Canis lupus familiaris: one gene and its partner. Each later gene encodes a partner of the first gene's protein in a complex. Links are inferred from orthologs where the notes say so. Each region holds a gene or a part of one and is shown on either strand. Other genes may lie near its edges.

Region 1 (10,486 bases):
TCAGCAGTCAGAGGTTCAACCCAACTGAGCTACCCAGATGCCCCTAGATAATATGTTAGTTCTATTTTTAATTTTTTGAGGAAACTCCATCCTATTTTCCACAGTGGCTGCACTACTTTACAGTCCCAACAGTATGTGAGGGTTCCCTCTTCTCCATGTCCTGGCCAACATTTGTTATTTCTTGTCTTTTTGATACTAGCCATCCTGACAGGTGTGAGGTGATATCTCATTGTGGTTTTGTGGTTTTGATTTGCATTTCTCTGACGATGAGTGATGTGGAACATCTTTTCATGTGTCTGTTGGCCATCTAGATGTCTGGATGCCCATTTTTTTAAATTTATTCATGAGAGACAGAGAGAGAGAGGCAGAGACATAGGCAGAGGGAGAAGCAGGCTCCCTGCGAGGAGCCTGATGTGGGACTCGATCCTGGGTCTCCAGAATCATGCCCTGAGCCAGAGGCAGACGCCCAACCGCTGAGCCACCCAGGTGCCCCTGGATGCCCATTTTTATTTATTTTTATTTATTTTTATTTATTTTTAATTTTTATTTATTTATGATAGGCACACAGTGAGAGAGAGAGAGAGAGAGAGAGAGAGAGAGGCAGAGACACAGGCAGAGGGAGAAGCAGGCTCCACCCAGGGAGCCCGACACGGGACTCGATCCCGGGTCTCCAGGATTAGGCCCTGGGCCAAAGGCAGGCGCCAAACCGCTGCGCCACCCAGGGATCCCTGGATGCCCATTTTTAAATCAGATTTTTTCCTGATTGAATTGTATGAGTTCTTTATATATTTTGGATATATGTATATCCATATATATATATAAAATATGATTTAGAAATATTTTCTCCCGTTTGCTAGGTTGCCTTTTCATTTTGTTGGTTTCCTTTGCTGTGCAGCTTTTTAGTTTGCTGTCATTCCATTTATTTATTTTTGCTTTTGTTGCCGGTGCCCTTGATGCCAAATCCAAAAAATCATCACTAAGACCAATGTCGAGCTTACTGCTTGTTTTCCTCTGTGAGTTTTATGGTTTCAGATCTTAGGTTCTTTAATCTATTTTGAGTTACTTCATGTGTGTGGTGCACAATAGTGGCCCAGTTGCATTCTTTTGCGCGTGGCTGTCCAGTTTTTCCAACACTATTTATCGAAGACTTTCCCCTACCCCTAGTATGTTCTTGGCTCCTTTGTTGTAAATTAATTACCCATATATGCATGGATTTATTTCTGGGCTTTTTATTCTGTTCCACTGAGCTGCATGTCTGTTTGATACTGATACCAACTACACTGTTCTCAGGAAGCCTGATGCCTCCAGCTTTGTTCTTGAGATTGCTTTGACTGTTTAAGGTCTTCTGTGGTTCTCTACAAATTTTAGGATTTTTTTCTAGTTCTATGAAATGCCACTGGAATTTTGGTAGGGTTGTAGATTGGGGTAGTGTGGACATTTGAACAATATTCTCCCCATCCATGAGCCCTGAGTATCTTTACATTTATGTCTTTGGTTTTTTATGGTTTTTTTTTTGTTTTGTTTTTTTGTCTTTGTCTTGTAATTTTCAGCATACAGGTCTTTCATCTCCTTGGTTAAATTTATTCCTAGGTGGTGTTTTGATGTAATTATAAATGAGATTGTTTTCTGAATTTGTTAGTTATTAGCGTATATATATGCAACACTTTTGAGTATTTTTTATCCTTCAACTTTACTGAATTCACTTGGATTTTTTTCAAAGATGTTATTTGAGGGTAGCCCTGGTGGTGCAGCGGTTTAGCGCCGCCTGCAGCCGGGGGTGTGATCCTGGAGATCCGGGATCGAGTCCCACATCGGGCTTCCTGCATGGAGCCTGCTTCTCCCTCTGCCTGTGTCTCTGCCTCTCTCTCTCTCGCTCTGAATGAATAAATAAATCTTTAAAAAAATATATGTTATTGGGATCCCTGGGTGGCGCAGCGGTTTGGCGCCTGCCTTTGGCCCGGGGCGCGATCCTGGAGACCCAGGATCAAGTCCCACATCGGGTTCCCGGTACATGGAGCCTGCTTCTCCCTCTGCCTGTGTCTCTGCTTCTCTCTCTCTCTCTCTGTGTGTGACTATCATAAGTAAAAATTAAAAAAAAATTGAAAAAATATGTTATTGATTTGAGAGAGAGAAAGAGAACGAACACAGGGTGGGGGCAGAGGGAAAGGGATCATGACCGGAGCCAAAAGCAGATGCTTAACTTACCGAGCCACCCAGGCACCCCCGAATTCATTCGTTCTGTCAGTTTTTTTTTTTTTTTAAAGATATTATTCATTCATTCATGAGATAGAGAGAGAGAGGCAGAGAGACACAGGCAGAGGGAGAAGCAGGCTCCACGCAGGGAGCCTGACGCGGAACTCGATCCCAGGTCTCCAGGATCACGCCCTGGGCTGAAGGCAGGTGCTAAACCACTGAGCCACCCGGGCTGCCCTCTGTCAGGGTTTTTTTGATGGGGTCTTTAGCGTTTTCTATGTCATCTGCATATAGTAAGTTTTACTTCCTCCTTTCCAATTTGGATGGCTTTTCTCTTTCTTACCTAGTTGTTCCGGCCCAGGTCAATCACAAAGCTGGTGTGAAAGCTGAGACCCAAACTCTATTTTTAAGTCCCACTTCTTCCCCAGACCCTAATGCCCTTATGAAGAGAAAGTTTGTCCACCTTGCTGTTTCTGGTACTGGGTGAAGCCTGGGGGATCTCTTCTGGGCTGACCAAAGGATGAGGAGCCAGTCCTGCACTGTTTCCCTCTCCCCAGCAGGACCAGACAAGCTTCTGCCCACAATGAACACAGGCATCATCCCATTTAACTCTCTCAGCATTTGCTGGGGCCCATACTGGACTGAGCACTAGAGGGTGTTGGGAGTTCAGCAGCGAACAAGACCATCCTTTGGGAGCCTGTGTACACCCCAACACCCAGTCCTTGTTCCATCTACCAGTTCCAGTCCATGAGCTTTACAACTCAGAAGGCAAGAGGTACTAGAGAGGGAAGCAAAAATATGGTAAGACTCCACTGGGAAAAGCCAATCTTGCAACCAAAGACAAAACCACATAGACTTTAGGCCTACACTAAGCCCCTAAATCCCTAGAACACTGAGAGCTGTTTAGTTTGTTGCCAACAACTCCTCACAGCTGTAGGGGGACTGCACAGAACACACTCTGGCTGAATGTTAGAAGAGGCATTTAATAACCAACACAAGCAGTGAGCAAGTGCAGCTCTCACTGATCACGGTGAAGAACAAGTCTCACTTTGATGCTGATGTGTCTTAAAGCTTTCCCTGAAGTTGGTTAATATCTGTCTTGAACAAAAACATCCGGATTTAGGCCCAGAGCCTTTGGCAGGTAACAGTATAGGACCATAGTTTAGTATCATTTGCTTTTTGTTCCCATTACGTTTCATTTCTATATTCACTTATTTCAGTATTCAAGTTTTATTTATGGCTAATGATAGCAGCATTTAATAATTCCTGGCAAGATGTTGCTAGGATCCAATACAGTACCCCAAGTTTGAGGATTAAGGCACAGGGTTGGGAGTTACCATTTGAATCATAGCTCTGCCACAGCCTTGGAAAAATCAGCTTTTTGAACATCACTTTTTCCATTGTAATGAAGATGTTGATTTACAAGATGCTCCCCTGTCCCAAAAATAAGGATATAAAAATCACCATGTGTCCAGCATACCCACAATGGAAAGTCTGAGTACCAAAACTGAATGACAAAATACATGAACTCAAACGTCACAGCAAAGATGGTTGCTTCATCTCATGGGGGTTTTTTTACTTTTCTTTTTAGTAATCTCTATACCCAATATGGAACTTGAACTCATGACCCCAAGATCAAGAGTCAGTCTTGCTCTTCCCACTGAGCCAGCCATGGGTCACCTAGGTTCACGGAGGTAATCTCATTCCTCTATCCATTTTTAAAGTAGGGTTATCACAACCTAAATACCAGCTCTGTAGACTAACCTATTCCATTCAATAGTATTCTGGGTTTCCAGGGTGACTGAAATAATAATCTGTGATTCCATAGTTAATTCCAGATTTTTTAAAAAAATGCTTTATCCTTCCAAATCAGTTTGATATCACTGTCATATGTGGGGGGGGAAGGTTTTTGCAGAAAGATTCCCTGTAAAATCTATAGTCATACCACTGGCAATCTCCTAGTTTGCTGTAGTTTATTGTAAAACATTACCATTTGGGGTAAACTGGGTGAAGGATACACAGAATGTCTTTGGGTTATTTTTCCACTTTCTTCTGAAACTGCTTTTTAACTTTATTTTGAAATAATTAAAAATGCTACTCATGAAAATGAAAGAAGATAAACATTGCAATTCCAAATTTAAAGTGAAAATCTGGGGGCACCTGGATGGCTCAGTGGTTGAGTGTCTGCCTTTGGCTCAGGTGGTGATCTTGGGGTTCTGTGATCGAATCCTGCATCCGGTTCACCACAGGGAGCCTCTGCCTCTCTCTCTCATAAAATAAACTCTTTTTTTAAAAAAATAAAAATAAAGTGAAAATCTGAATGGTATTAGGAGAGCTTTGGAGTCACCTGACAAATGTGGTACCTCGGTGGAGGGACTGGGAAGCTCAGTAAAAAAGGCTTATATATATATGTATAAGGCTCATTATTAACTCTGGCAGTGATAAACATTACCTGGTCTTGTCGCTTTGCTCTCCCCCAACTCCTTGACCCAAGGTTAGGCCTAGACCAAGCTAACTCTGAATCAGCTTCAACTAACAAGGAACCAGATGAGCGGGAGAGAGGCCGGAAAGGTTGTGAAAACCCAGGGAAAGAACACTGTGCACATAATTTATTTAAGTCACTCTGGATCTGAGGCTAAAACACAGCGGATGCCATCCCGGGTGGACGGTCAGCCAGCGCTCCGCGCCCTTCCGGATCCAGGCCTGGGTTTCATCTGGGGACCTCCGACCGCACCAGGGAGTCGGCCTGGCTCAGGGCGAGTTTGTCCTTCTTCTCCTTCTGCAACACCTGCTCTTCCCACAGCGCCTGGTCAACCTGATCGTCTGTGAGCACGACGGGCTTGTACTTCTCGTCGAAGAGGCGCTCGTTCGTCTCAGAATGCAGCTGATGGGGTCCGACGACGCGCAGATGGGCCGGCAGGTGCTGGAACTCCTCGTCGTTGATGTCGCAGTCGCGCATCCGGGCGGCCAGCACCCACCAGCGGCCCACGAAGCCCACGTCCAGGATCCGGTCCGGGAAGTCGGCCCAACGGGGCTGCAGGTAGCGGCAGCGAGCCTGGTAGAGGCTGGCCTGGGCGTCGACGGGCGCCTCGTACACGAGCGCGCAGAGGCCCAGGTTCACGTGGCGGAGGCGGCCGCGCCCCCGCAGCCAGAGCAGCCGCTGCACACAGTCCTCGGAGGCGCGGTTGCGCGTGGCGGGGGCCAGCAGCAGGAGGATGCCCGACGCGTCGAGCAGCGCCTCCTCGAAGGCCGCCTCGCTGGGCGCCAGCGCGCAGCAGGCCGCCGCGCCCCCCAGCAGCCCCGCGTACACGGCCGCCCGCCAGGGCCGGGCCCGCGCCGCCGCCGCCGCGTCCCCGCAAGCCTCGGCGTAGTCTCGGAGCAGCACGCGGGCCCAGGCGCCTGAGGGAGAAGCGGAACACACAGGTGAGAGCAGGCCGCCGTGGCCACCCTCCCGCCGCCGCCCGCCGCTACTCACCCAGCCGCGCCCACACGCCCGGCTTCGCGGCCGCCGGGCCACCAGATCCTTCACGGTTTCGGGACCACAATCTCTTCAGAGCGGCCGTCGCCATTCTCTTCCGGCTCAGAGTCCGTTTTCCGAAGCGAAACGCCTCGTGTGCGAAGTAAAAGGCCCGGGGGCCTCCTGCGCCAGCGTCGACGGTGCCGGAAGTGGCTTCCCATCGGAACAAGACGGAACTCGGACCGCTGCCGGATGTTGCTGTCGGGTCGGAGCGCGGCCGGCGGAGGCCGGGAGGCGGGCCGCGCAGGCGCAGAGAGCCTGGGCCACGCCGGCTGAGGGAGCCTCAGGTGAGGGGGGCGGGGTGCACCTGTGGGGCGGGGGCGGCGAGGTCACCCCCCGCTCGGTGCCCTAGCGGCCTGGCTGGGCTCCGGGCTGAGGGATGGACCTGGGGGGAGGGGCACCGAGTGTGGTTGGGGGCGGGCGTCATTGGCCTCTGTCCTCAGAGCGGGATGCGGTGACGCCCCTGAGCGACCATGGCAGCGGCCGACGAGCTGGCCTTCCACGGTGAGTGGGCGGCGACCTGGCCCGAGCTCCTACTCCCTCCGCCGCCCGGACCCTCCCACCCGGGTGCCCGCCGACAGCCGGCCTGAAGCCCCGACCCTGACCCGAACCCCGCTCCCAGCCTGAGCCTCGGTCCCAGACCTGACCCCATCCCGGAACCAGCCTTAAGTGGTGGGCCCTTGTGGGGCGGGGGGACACACCTTACAACTCCCCAAAACTTAGGAAGCTGGGCCCTTAGGTAGCCCCAGGTGGAGTGTTGTCCCCCAGCCGAGCAGTGGGCCAAACCAAATTGTCTTGACTCCCAAAACATGCCTTTGTCCCGTATTCCTTCTCCATAGAGTTCGAGGAAGCTTCTAGTCTGCTGGCGGAGACCCCAGATGCGGCCACCACGAGTGGCCGCGGTCAGCTGGCCCCACAGGGGCACGTGGCGGTGGAGGTGGACTCGGGTGGTATCTACGGATCTGAGGAGGCTGAGGAGAGTGACAAGACTGCGGTGAGAGCCTCAGGCCCTGCCTGCACCCAGCCCTGCCCCCGCGCTCCGCCCAGGCGGGAAGGGCAGCCGCTGAAAGCCCATGCCATCCCTGCAGCTCCTGCAGGAGGAGAAGCAGCAGCCCGGATTCTGGACCTTTAGCTACTATCAGAGCTTCTTTGACGTGGACACATCCCAGGTCAGGCCCGGGAAGCTGGTGGGATGGGGCCTGCGGTCACACGGGGGTCCAGCCACTGTTCACTGAGCCCTTCCTAGACACCAGAATGCTGGTGATGCCCAGGCGGTAGGACACGGGCCCCTACACGGGCTGGTGGACTGTGGTGCGCTGTCAGGATTATGGTGTGATGGGCTCGTGGGAACACAGTTGCATATAGTCACGCAGGTTAGAGAAGGGCCTCCTGGAGGAGGTGAGGAATGTGCAGAGACGTGAAGGGAAGCACGTATGGCAGGTGCAGGGAACAGCAGATGCAGAGGGCCAAAGGTGAGAGAAGGTGTCACGAGCTACCTGTCACTTGATCTGGTTGGAGATTGAGGTGGGGGACAGGCAGGCAGAACCCAGACCACAAAGGCCTCGTACGCTGTGCTAGTTTGAGTTTCATCGTGAGGGTGCTGGGGAGCCACAGAAGGGCTTAGAGCGGGAGAGGAATGAATTGAATTAGGAAGGTGGCTCAGAGACCCCAGGCCTTAAACCTGGGGTGCAGAACAAGGAATATAGTGGAAAGAGAGGTAGGCAGGAGGATGCCCAGGATTTGACTGTTCCCCACCTCACGGTCCAGGCATGTCACAACATAACAGGCTGTTCAGGGCAGCCAAGCTAAGAGAAGGGAGAAGCAAGGAGAAAGATGACCAACCCGGAAGAGTCCTTGAGAGCAGTAGCGCGCTAGGGTATTGGGGCTGGCCAGGGAAAGGGGCATCAAAAACTCAGGGAACATCCAAGCTTTTTCAGGCAAGGAGATGGGAGCTCAGCAGGGAAGGAGCCCCTAAGGGCAGGAGCTTAGCCCTTTCCTCTTTCTTTGGTGGAGGGATGTGTGTGTTGGCCCTGTGCAGGCTCCCATTCTGGGCCCCACCTTGTCCCCAGGTCCTGGACCGAATCAGAGGCTCACTGCTGCCCCGGCCTGGCCACAACTTTGTACGGCACCATCTGCGGAATCGGCCAGACCTGTATGGTGAGTGGTGGTGTACGTTCAGCTCGATAATTCATTCAGCACATGTGGACCGAGTGCCAGCCCATGGATTCCAGCTGAGAAGAAAGTAGGGGCACTCCCAGAGGGCAGGAAGCACGCATTCCATCTGGGGAGACAGATATATAGAGGCTGCTGAGGGCAATGGGGCTCAGAAAAAAAGCAAACAGTTTAGAGGATGGGAGTTGCCATTTTGCATGGTTGAGACAGGACATCTCTGAGGAGGATGCAAGAATGGGCCTTGTTAGGGATGAAGGTGAGGAGACATAGGGGAAGAACATTCCAGAAGGGGGCACAGGTCCAGTGGTGGAGCAGTATTGTCACTGGAGCAGTGAGCTGCATGAGGTCGTAGAGGTGACAGGAGAGACTGTGCAGATTTTGTCCGTCTCAGTGAGAAGGGGTCTTAGTTAAGGACTCTGAGGCTTCCTCTGGCCATGGGGGGCGGGGGGGGGCAGGGGCAGATGCCAGGAGACCAGAGAGGCAGTGCCCGCCACCATGGTACAGGTGTGGGGTGATGGGCCCAGCCCCAGGTGGAGAGCAGTGGTTGGACTGTGAAAGAGATCTCATGGCAGAGCCGACGGGACTTCCTGACACCCTGACACGCCTGAGGTCGGGCGGGAGGAGAGAGGCAAGGGTGGCTCCTGGATTTCCATCGGGACTGCTAGAAGGATGGGACTGTCATTTACCAACTGGAAAGGCTGGGCAGGCTGGAGTTGGAGAGACCTAGACGTGACGTGGAAATGCTGACTATAAAGCCAGTGGTTCATGGCACAGACCAAATTTGAGACATTTGGGAGTCATCAGCCTGGAGGTGACCTAAACCCCTGAGGCGGGACAAGATGGTGCAAGGGGTGAACACAGAGAGGATGGCTGAAGACCGGCCCTGGCTGGGTCCCCGTTATTGAAGGGGTTAGGGAGTCCCAAAGGTTGGGGAATAGCCAGGAATGTGACATGCCAGAAGCAGGAGCATGAAGTCCTAAAAGCACATGGGGAGTGGTTCCAGAAGAAGGAAGCGATCAGCTACAGCAAAGGCGATAGAAAAGTCAGGAAAGCTGAGGGACTGAGGGCCAGCTCTGGGATCAGCCAGCCCAGGTCATCAGTGACGGGGGGTGGTGTGCAGGTAGCCCCGAGCCTAGAAAGCAGCTGGGGTCCCAGCACAGTTGAGATGGGACAAGTCTCCTGTTCGGGGAACCCTGGGCCCCTTCCCACACCCTGCCCTGCCCACAGGCCCCTTCTGGATCTGTGCCACGCTGGCTTTCGTCTTGGCCATCACTGGCAATCTGACGCTGGTGCTGGCCCAGAGGAGGGACCCCTCGATCCACTACAGCCCCCAGTTCCACAAGGGTGAGTGAAGTGGGCTAGGCCTGGCACCTGCCGGGGCTGGGAGTGCACAGAGCCCCAAGGGTGACTGCCTGCCTTGCCCCGCGCTCCACAGTGACTGTGGCTGGCGTCACCATCTACTGCTATGTTTGGCTGGTGCCGTTGGCGCTGTGGGGCTTCCTGCGGTGGCGGAAGGGTGTCCGGGAGCGCATGGGGCCTTACACCTTCCTGGAGACCGTGTGCATCTACGGCTACTCCCTCTTTGTCTTCATCCCCACCGTGGTAAGTGCGGCCCAGGGGTGGAGGGCACCAGGCATCATGGGGAAGGCCTGGTAGGCAGCTGCCCATGTCGCCCCCAGGTCCTGTGGCTCATTCCGGTCCCCTGGCTGCAGTGGCTCTTTGGGGTCATGGCCCTGGTGCTGTCAGCCGCCAGCCTGGTGTTTACCCTCTGGCCTGTTGTCCGAGAGGACACCAGATTGGTGGCTGCGGTGCTGCTCTCGACTGTCGTGCTGCTCCATGCCCTCCTGGCCGTGGGCTGTAAGGTACAGACGGTCACGACCGGGGCGGGGGACGGGTGCTGACCCCCCACCAACACTGACTCCAGGGGCCTCGGTCCAGTTTTATTTCTTCCAGCCCCTGCCTCTGGAGCACCTGGCACCGCCGGCCCAGGCCACGTCTCTGCCTGCGAACCTCTTGCTGCCACCCACGTCGAGGCCTAAGGCCACTTAGGGCGGCCGAGCCTATGGGTAAGGGGCTGCTCCTGCCTTTCCTCCCCGTCTCGAGGAGTCCCAGGGCTGCTCCCAGGAGTCTCTCTCTTTCAGGCCCAACATGAGGGGACACCTATGCCTGCCCTGCTCCTCAGACGATGGCTGAAGGCTCCCCTGACACCTCAAGATCACTCTGCTACTTTCCAGACTTTTCTTACAAAGCAAACACTTTTATTTTCTATGCAAAGGTGATTCCGAGAATTTATATAAAGGCGGGAAAGGGGCAGCAGGAAGCTCCTGGTGTGGCATCGCCCTCGGGCTCCCTGCCCAACCTTCTGCTTTCCCCAATGGGACAGTTGGGAGAGCAGAGGGGGGCCACCCCGGCCTCAACTGTGCCTGCCCTTCCTGGGTGCCTGGTGAGCTGGTCCCAGGGCCTAGCCTGAGCTCCACCGCATCCGAGTTTGAAGGTGTTAGAAACGGGGGGAGCAGAAGTAGAAGAAAATTGCCTGTGCTGAAACATACATTTCCTTGTTTATTTGTTTTGTTTTGGGGGGGAGGGGGCGGAGGTCCCTGCAAG
Region 2 (6,597 bases), on another chromosome or scaffold:
TAAAGTAGCAATTGCAGTGACCCTGTTGGAAGATTACAAAAATGGGGAGAAGCAGACCGAATTAAGGGGGATATTTAGAAATGTAAAATGTAAACAGATGGAATTTGGCAACTGAGTGAGGTTTCTACCTTCTGCAACTGGAAAAGTACTAGGTATTGGAGGAAAGCTGATGAGGAAAACCTTTGAGTTGGGGATGTTTTTGAGATATCTAAGTGGGAATGTCAATCAAGTTGCTCAGAGGAGAGATCTGGGAGGCATGAATAACTGAAGCTGAGTGGGGAGGACACTGTCCTAGAAAAATGTCTAACAGGCCCTAGAGAAACCTTTAGATGTAAAGGCTGGAAGCAGGTGATCCTCAAAGGAGGCTATGAAGCTGTGGTGAAAGTAGTAGAACCATGAGTGGAATCAGACACCAGTGAAAGACTGACAATGGAACTAGTCCATTTTACCAGATGCTACTGAGAAATGAAGTAAGTGAGGACTGGGAAATCATCACTGAATTCAGGGATATGAAAGTCATTTGGTGGGCCAGGGTGACCTCATCAAGAACAATTTCAATAGAATAAAGATTGATGTCAAAATAGACTGGGTGGAGGAACGGGAATGGGAAGAGCCACAGTATCCAACTGTTTTAAGAAGTTAAGCTGTAAGGTGGAAAATAATAGTACCTAGAGAGGAATAAAGGAAGTGGTTTGTTTGTTGTAACAGGGGAGTTTCTAGCATGTTTGAACGATGGTGAGAATAGAGTGAAATAGGAAAAAGTCAGAGATTCCCAAAGAAGGACTAGAATTCAGAGCAGGAATAGGCATTGGCATGTTTGCCCTGCTTAGATGGAGGGAATGAGAGAAAGATGCAGATACAGGTGGGTGACCAAGTTTTGTTGTGAGATTTTGTGGTAGCTCCCAACTGTCAGCTTTTTTTTTTTTTTTTTTTTTTAACCTATGAATTAAAAAATAAAGTTACCTGCACAAAATTGAAGAGAATAGTTAGGGTAATAACAGGCTTAAGAATATTGATTCAAAAAAGTCATTGCAGGGAGCATCGGAGACTGGAAAAATCTAGTGGGATTATAGGGGTTGAGACTCCATTTGATGCTGGTAACCACAAATTCAGTGATATAAATCTGCTCTGTAGTGATTTCCTTCAGCTTTTAGCTGTCCAAATGCAGGCAGACAAATACCTCATTTTATCTGAGTCCAACAAAGAGATGACAAAAAACAGGAGTAGCCTGTTCCAAGAGAATGACTGGAATTTAAGCTGGATAGGAATCTAAAGACAGAGGTGTTAATGGAATGAAGGTAGAATCAATGGTTTGAATGCTCCAGCAAAACCAAAGAATAATAGTAAAGGAATAAATCAATAAACAAAGTGGAAGGAATAGTCAGTAAATAGTGTATTAAAGATGGAGCAGTTTGGGGGAAATGACAATGGCTAGGACATAGCTAAGGGAGTGGGTGGATAAGACAGAGTGGAAATTATTGAAGAATGAGAAAAGGGACTGAGAAACCAAAATACTGAATGGACTATCCAGTAACATTAAAGTACCAAGGGGTTGATAGGAAAACCAAGGGCTAGCCATTTCGAGGAAAGTAGGAGAGCAGTGGTTCCTAAGGACCAGTAATGAGGAAGGGTAGTATAGTTCAATAGGCCCAAAGGAATCTGATTTTGCAAAGGAATAGGCAGTTAAGTTCTGAAGTCACAATGGCAAGAACATCAACTCTGTCTCCAAAATGATGTGATAAGGGATAAAGCTTTGTTAACATTCTTGTGTCGTGGGCAACCCAGGTGGCTCAGCAGTTTAGCGCTGCCTTCAGCCCAGGGCCTGATCCTGGAGACCCGAGATCAAGTCCCATGTCGGGCTCCCTGCATGGAGTCTGTTTCTCCCTCTGCCTGTGTCTCTGCCTCTCCCTCTCTGTATCTCTCATAATAAATAAATAAAATCTTAAAAAAAAAAAAAATTCTTGTGTCATGCTTGAAACATCACACTGCTTTCATTACGCCAATGGACGTCACTTTATGATGAGACCTGAGGAAGATGTCAGTGACTACAGGAGATAGGTAGCAACAGTAGAGTTCTTCTACGTACTGAACGTATTTATAAACAGAGAGGGAAGAAGAGGTTAAAAACTTAAGGGATTAATTGATGGATACTTGTTTTTTCATCCCTAGGGACAGGCTGGGTGCACATGAGCAAACAAATATAAATTCTGGAAATTCAAAGAACATAGCCTCTAGAGTCAAGACAGATCTTTCTCAGCCCTGCTCCAGCAAGTAGTAATTATGTGACATGGAAACAGATGATTCGCAATGGAAATTTACTGCAAGGATACACGCAAATGTCCACGGAAGAGTCCTCCCACCAGCAGCACAGTATTCAAGGTCTCCATTCCTGTCTTGGAACTGGTTAAGTTCACAAGCTGCTTTAGCTGAAGTTTTACGTTCCAAGGAGAAAATTTTAATGAGTAGACACAAACCCATTCAGTAGGGAATTTCCTGGTCAGCAGCTTGTACATTCCTAGCAACCATCTGTTGAAGATATAGGAACTAAAGAGATGAAAAGCCATTTGGAGCAACTTTTCTCAAGAGGTAACTACGTAAACATGGGGCTCTGATACATTCTGGATTCTTGCTTCCTCATCCATTAAGTGGGGAATAATATCTCTTACTTGTAGTTTTGCTATAGATTAAAATAGGGATGCCTGGGTGACTCAGTGGTTGAGCATTTGCCTTCAGCTCAGGGTGTGACCCCAGGGTCCTGGGATCGAGTCCTGCAGCAGCCTAGGGAGCCTGCTTCTCTTCTGTCTCTACATCTCTCATGAATAAATAAAATCTAAAAAAAAAAAAAAAAAAAGGCTGAGATAAAGCAGGACATATACCAGCACTGGAACCCATACAAATCAGATGGCTCAATGGTATTTTGAGAGGCAGCCTGGTGTAATAAAAAGTACATGGATTTTATTTTTTTAAAAAAGATTATTTATTTATTTATTTACTTATTTATTTATTTATTTATTCATGAGAGACAAAGAGAGAGAGAGGCAGAGACACAGGCAGAGGGAGAAGCAGGCTCCACGCAGGGAGCCTGACACAGGACTCGATCCTCAGTCTCCAGGATCACGCCCTGGACTGAAGGTGGCACTAAACCACTGAGCCCCTGGGGCTGCCCAGAAGTGCATGGATTTTAAAGCCAGATCTGTATCTGTATCTTAAAAAGATATTAATATCTTAATATTAAGATACAGATTAATATCTTAATCTGTATCTTAATAAAGTCTGCTACTAGAGAATTTCAACTTCCTGATCCACATAGGGGAAAAAATGTCTGCTTTGTGGGTAGTTGTAAGGAGTTTTATGGGAGCCAATGTCTAAGAGCTTCCATTTCCTCCGTAAAAAATGAAACATGGTCCCCTGATGGAGGATAGCTGAACGTGAAATGGGGGATAAGAGCAGTGAAGGTGTAAACTAACTGCCTTGGTGATTAGGAGACAAAAATATACCAGGAAGCCACAAAGGGTTGCTTGTTGGTTGACGCTGGAGACCTTGAATGGTTAGTGCCACTCATTACACAGCTGTGTTTTTGTCTAGCAGTCTGAACAGAAGAACAGTAAAGGTAAAACAGCTGGAATGATACAAAAAGGACACAAGGGAGGCAAGAAAATGCGGTGATGGGGTGATAGGCCATTTAGAATGGTGGCACAAGTAAATTTTATGAGGGCAATAAATGAGAGAAAGATAGAGAGGCTCAGCATGGAAATAACAAAACCGGGACAATGAAAACAATGATGGGTAGAGGACAGAAGAGCTGGAATTAGATTATAGACTTGGAGGTAACGATAAAGAGGTCCCAAGGATTTGTTTTATCTTTTTCCCCATAACCATCATCATCTATTTCTCCCCTGAGCTTTTGTTCCTTGGGTCTGGCTATATTGTAGAATATGGTCCTCCAAGTTCCCCCTTTCTGACTGCTCCTGAAGACAAGCACACAGACCTTCTTTGTGTAAAAGCTTTACTGCTCATCCTGGGGAAGACAGAAAATAATAAGAAAATAACAACTTGGGAAAATGGCTGAAGTTCCAGAACACCCCGAAATCTTACAGGTTTCATTTCAGTTACGGGGCTACTGACTTTCCAGAAGGCACTGCATACAAAAACCCTGTGATTTCTTGATCTGTTATTCTTAGGTATCTCCTCCTTCCCCTAAATTTAGGAGAATTCTTTAGAGCCCATGAAAAGAGTTATAAATGAATGCACACCCAGCTCACAAATAAACCATTAAGTCAGATTTAAGTGAAGGACAACAAGAAGAGCTCTTATTTTCTCTGCCATCTGGGCAGGAACCAACTTCCTATTGCTATTACTAACATTAAAATCGTACCACAGGGGTGCCTGGGTGCAGTTGGTTAAGTGTCTGTCTTTGGCTCAAGTCATAATCCCAGGGCCCTGGGATCAAGCCCCGCATCTGGCTCCCTGCTAGGCCCGGAGTCTGCTTCTCTCTCTGCCCCTCCCCCTGCTCATTCTCTCTCTCTCTCTCACATAAATAAATAAACAAAATCTTTAAAAAAAAGAAAGAATTAAGTAAGATGCACCTGGGTGGCTCAGCCATTGAGCGTCTGCTTTTGGCTCAGGGTAGGATCCTGGGGTTCTGGGATCAAGTCCGGCATCGGGCTCCCCACAGGGAGCCTCTGCTTCTCCCTCTGCCTATGTCTCTGCCGCTCTCTGTGTGTCTCGTGAATAAATAAACTCTTTACAAAAGAAAAAATTGTACCCACAGGCCTTGTTTTAACCAGGTGCCAGGAAATGTTGAGGTTTTCCTTCTACACATAGAAGCCAATTTCTCCACTGCCAGGGCTGAAGCCAACAGATATGCGCTGACAGGATAAAGGATGGGGCCAATAAAGCGGGCAAAGCTTCCGTGCCCAGAACATAAATCAAACAGTGCAAAAGTGGGTTTATTGGCTCCAAGAAAAGGAGCAATACTACCCAGCTGTCAGACAACCCCTCACTCTATATATGGGCTGCATCCAGCCCAAGGTCCACTGGCTCCTTCAGTTTGAGGGTCCATCCAGCGCCTCCCTTCCTAGCTGCCTGATGGTGAGGTTCCGGGCTGTTCTGCAGCAACACCTGGCCCAGCTGAGGCAGCCTCGTAGTCTGCGATGCGGCGCTGTACCAGAGCCGGCATGAGCTGCACGTAAGCGGCCATGAGGCGGTGGTTGGAATGGATCAGCTTCCCAGCACAGCTGTGCAGACAGGCCTCCTGGAAGGAAGACAGGGTGAAGCATTGGTGTCCACTGGTGTCCGTCCCATCCCTGGCCCAGGGGCAAGGGTCATGGAAAGGCCCGGGCCAGAGGTAGGGGCGGTGGAGGTTGGGGACAGTCTACGGCGAACCCCACCTAACCTCTTCAGCGTCCAGAGCTCGGTGGTGCAAGCTGGGCACGCAGCGCTGGAAGCAGAGTTCCGTCATCCGATTGTAGACCAACAGGAAGTCCCGCAACTAGGAGAGAAGGGGACAAAGAGCCCAGCGATAAGGGGGCACCTCGAGGCCGCGCCCTCGAGGTTTCCCAGGACGGCGCGCCAGAGCGCGACGTTCCCAACCCTCCGCCCTCCAGCCAAACGGACGAAGATGCCAGCTGAACTGATGGCCCCGTCGCGACTTAGCACCCACTCACGTTCCTCAGCTGCTGCTGCTGCTGCTGCTGCTGCTGCGGCTCCATCGCGCCACCGGCGCACGCACGTCACTTCCGCACAGCCTCTTGGTAACGCCCCGGAAGTGACCTCTCCTGGCTCCCCGGGGACTGAGGGGTTGCCTCAAGGATCGCCCCGCCCCTGGCTTTAACGTCATCTCCGCCCTTATAGTCTGCGACGTGGCCGGCTTCTTCTGCCCGGGAGGGGACGTCACTTCCGCCGAGTCCCTGACCTGCTGCTAGGATCGCGACGGGAACTGGAGCCCGAGGTCCCCGCGCGGCCCGGGCCTGGCGCCCTGAGGGGAAGAGCGGCCCGGCCCGAGGTGAGAAGGACATACTTGGGCAAGGGGAAGTTGAATGCACGAGCCTGCCCCGAGGGAAAGATGCTACAGAGCCCTGGGGAAGGATGAGGACACACCTGATGCCCAGGTGTGGGGTGGGGGGGGGGCGGGGACTAACACACCTGGGGGACATAACTGACTTTGGAAGGGATCACTATGTGCTGGGAAAATGTGGCTTTTCCCAGAGGCCAAGAACGGACACCAACTGATTCAACTAGGGCCTGCAGGGGGAGGGCTGCAGGAGGAGGGGGTGCATGGGATGGAGGAGGGAGAGACCACCTGAAGGAAAGGGGAAGCAACCCTAAGGGAGTGTGAGAGGCCAAGCAATGGAGAACATACCAGAGCGGGAGGAGTAGGCTCCTGAGCCCTGGAAAGGGGTTAATCTGATGGGAGGAAACAGCTGCATGGGGGTAAGTTCCAAAACAGCACAGACTTTCTCTCCCTTGGCCACTGCTGTGACCTCAAATAGTAGTCTGTTGAATGGTTGAACGCATGAGTGATCACCTGAGTCCTGGTGGGGTTGGGGGTCCGTGAGAAGATACTGGGGACCTGGGTGTGCATGTGGAAAGATACAC

What was found. The genes of interacting proteins can lie anywhere in the genome.
Region 2: TIMM29 (region 1) and TIMM10B share a complex: the UniProt entries of both Homo sapiens proteins name them as parts of the TIM22 complex. The link is inferred for Canis lupus familiaris from reciprocal best matches to the Homo sapiens genes TIMM29 and TIMM10B.

What each region holds. Positions count from the first base shown.
Region 1 is NC_049241.1:50,720,902-50,731,387, forward strand, and holds TIMM29 (mitochondrial import inner membrane translocase subunit Tim29), read right to left. Parts: upstream 5,989-10,486; 5' UTR 5,763-5,988; coding exon 5,669-5,762; intron 5,593-5,668; coding exon 4,904-5,592; 3' UTR 3,161-4,903; downstream 1-3,160. Other genes in the region: protein YIPF2, read left to right, coding at 6,184-6,214, 6,550-6,704, 6,799-6,879, 7,780-7,867, 9,110-9,226, 9,318-9,484, 9,562-9,744, 9,807-9,948 and 1 more. UniProt on the Homo sapiens protein: Component of the TIM22 complex, a complex that mediates the import and insertion of multi-pass transmembrane proteins into the mitochondrial inner membrane.
Region 2 is NC_049242.1:30,305,585-30,312,181, reverse strand, and holds TIMM10B (mitochondrial import inner membrane translocase subunit Tim10 B), read right to left. Parts: upstream 5,807-6,597; 5' UTR 5,712-5,806; coding exon 5,667-5,711; intron 5,492-5,666; coding exon 5,396-5,491; intron 5,255-5,395; coding exon 5,078-5,254; 3' UTR 3,990-5,077; downstream 1-3,989. UniProt on the Homo sapiens protein: Component of the TIM22 complex, a complex that mediates the import and insertion of multi-pass transmembrane proteins into the mitochondrial inner membrane.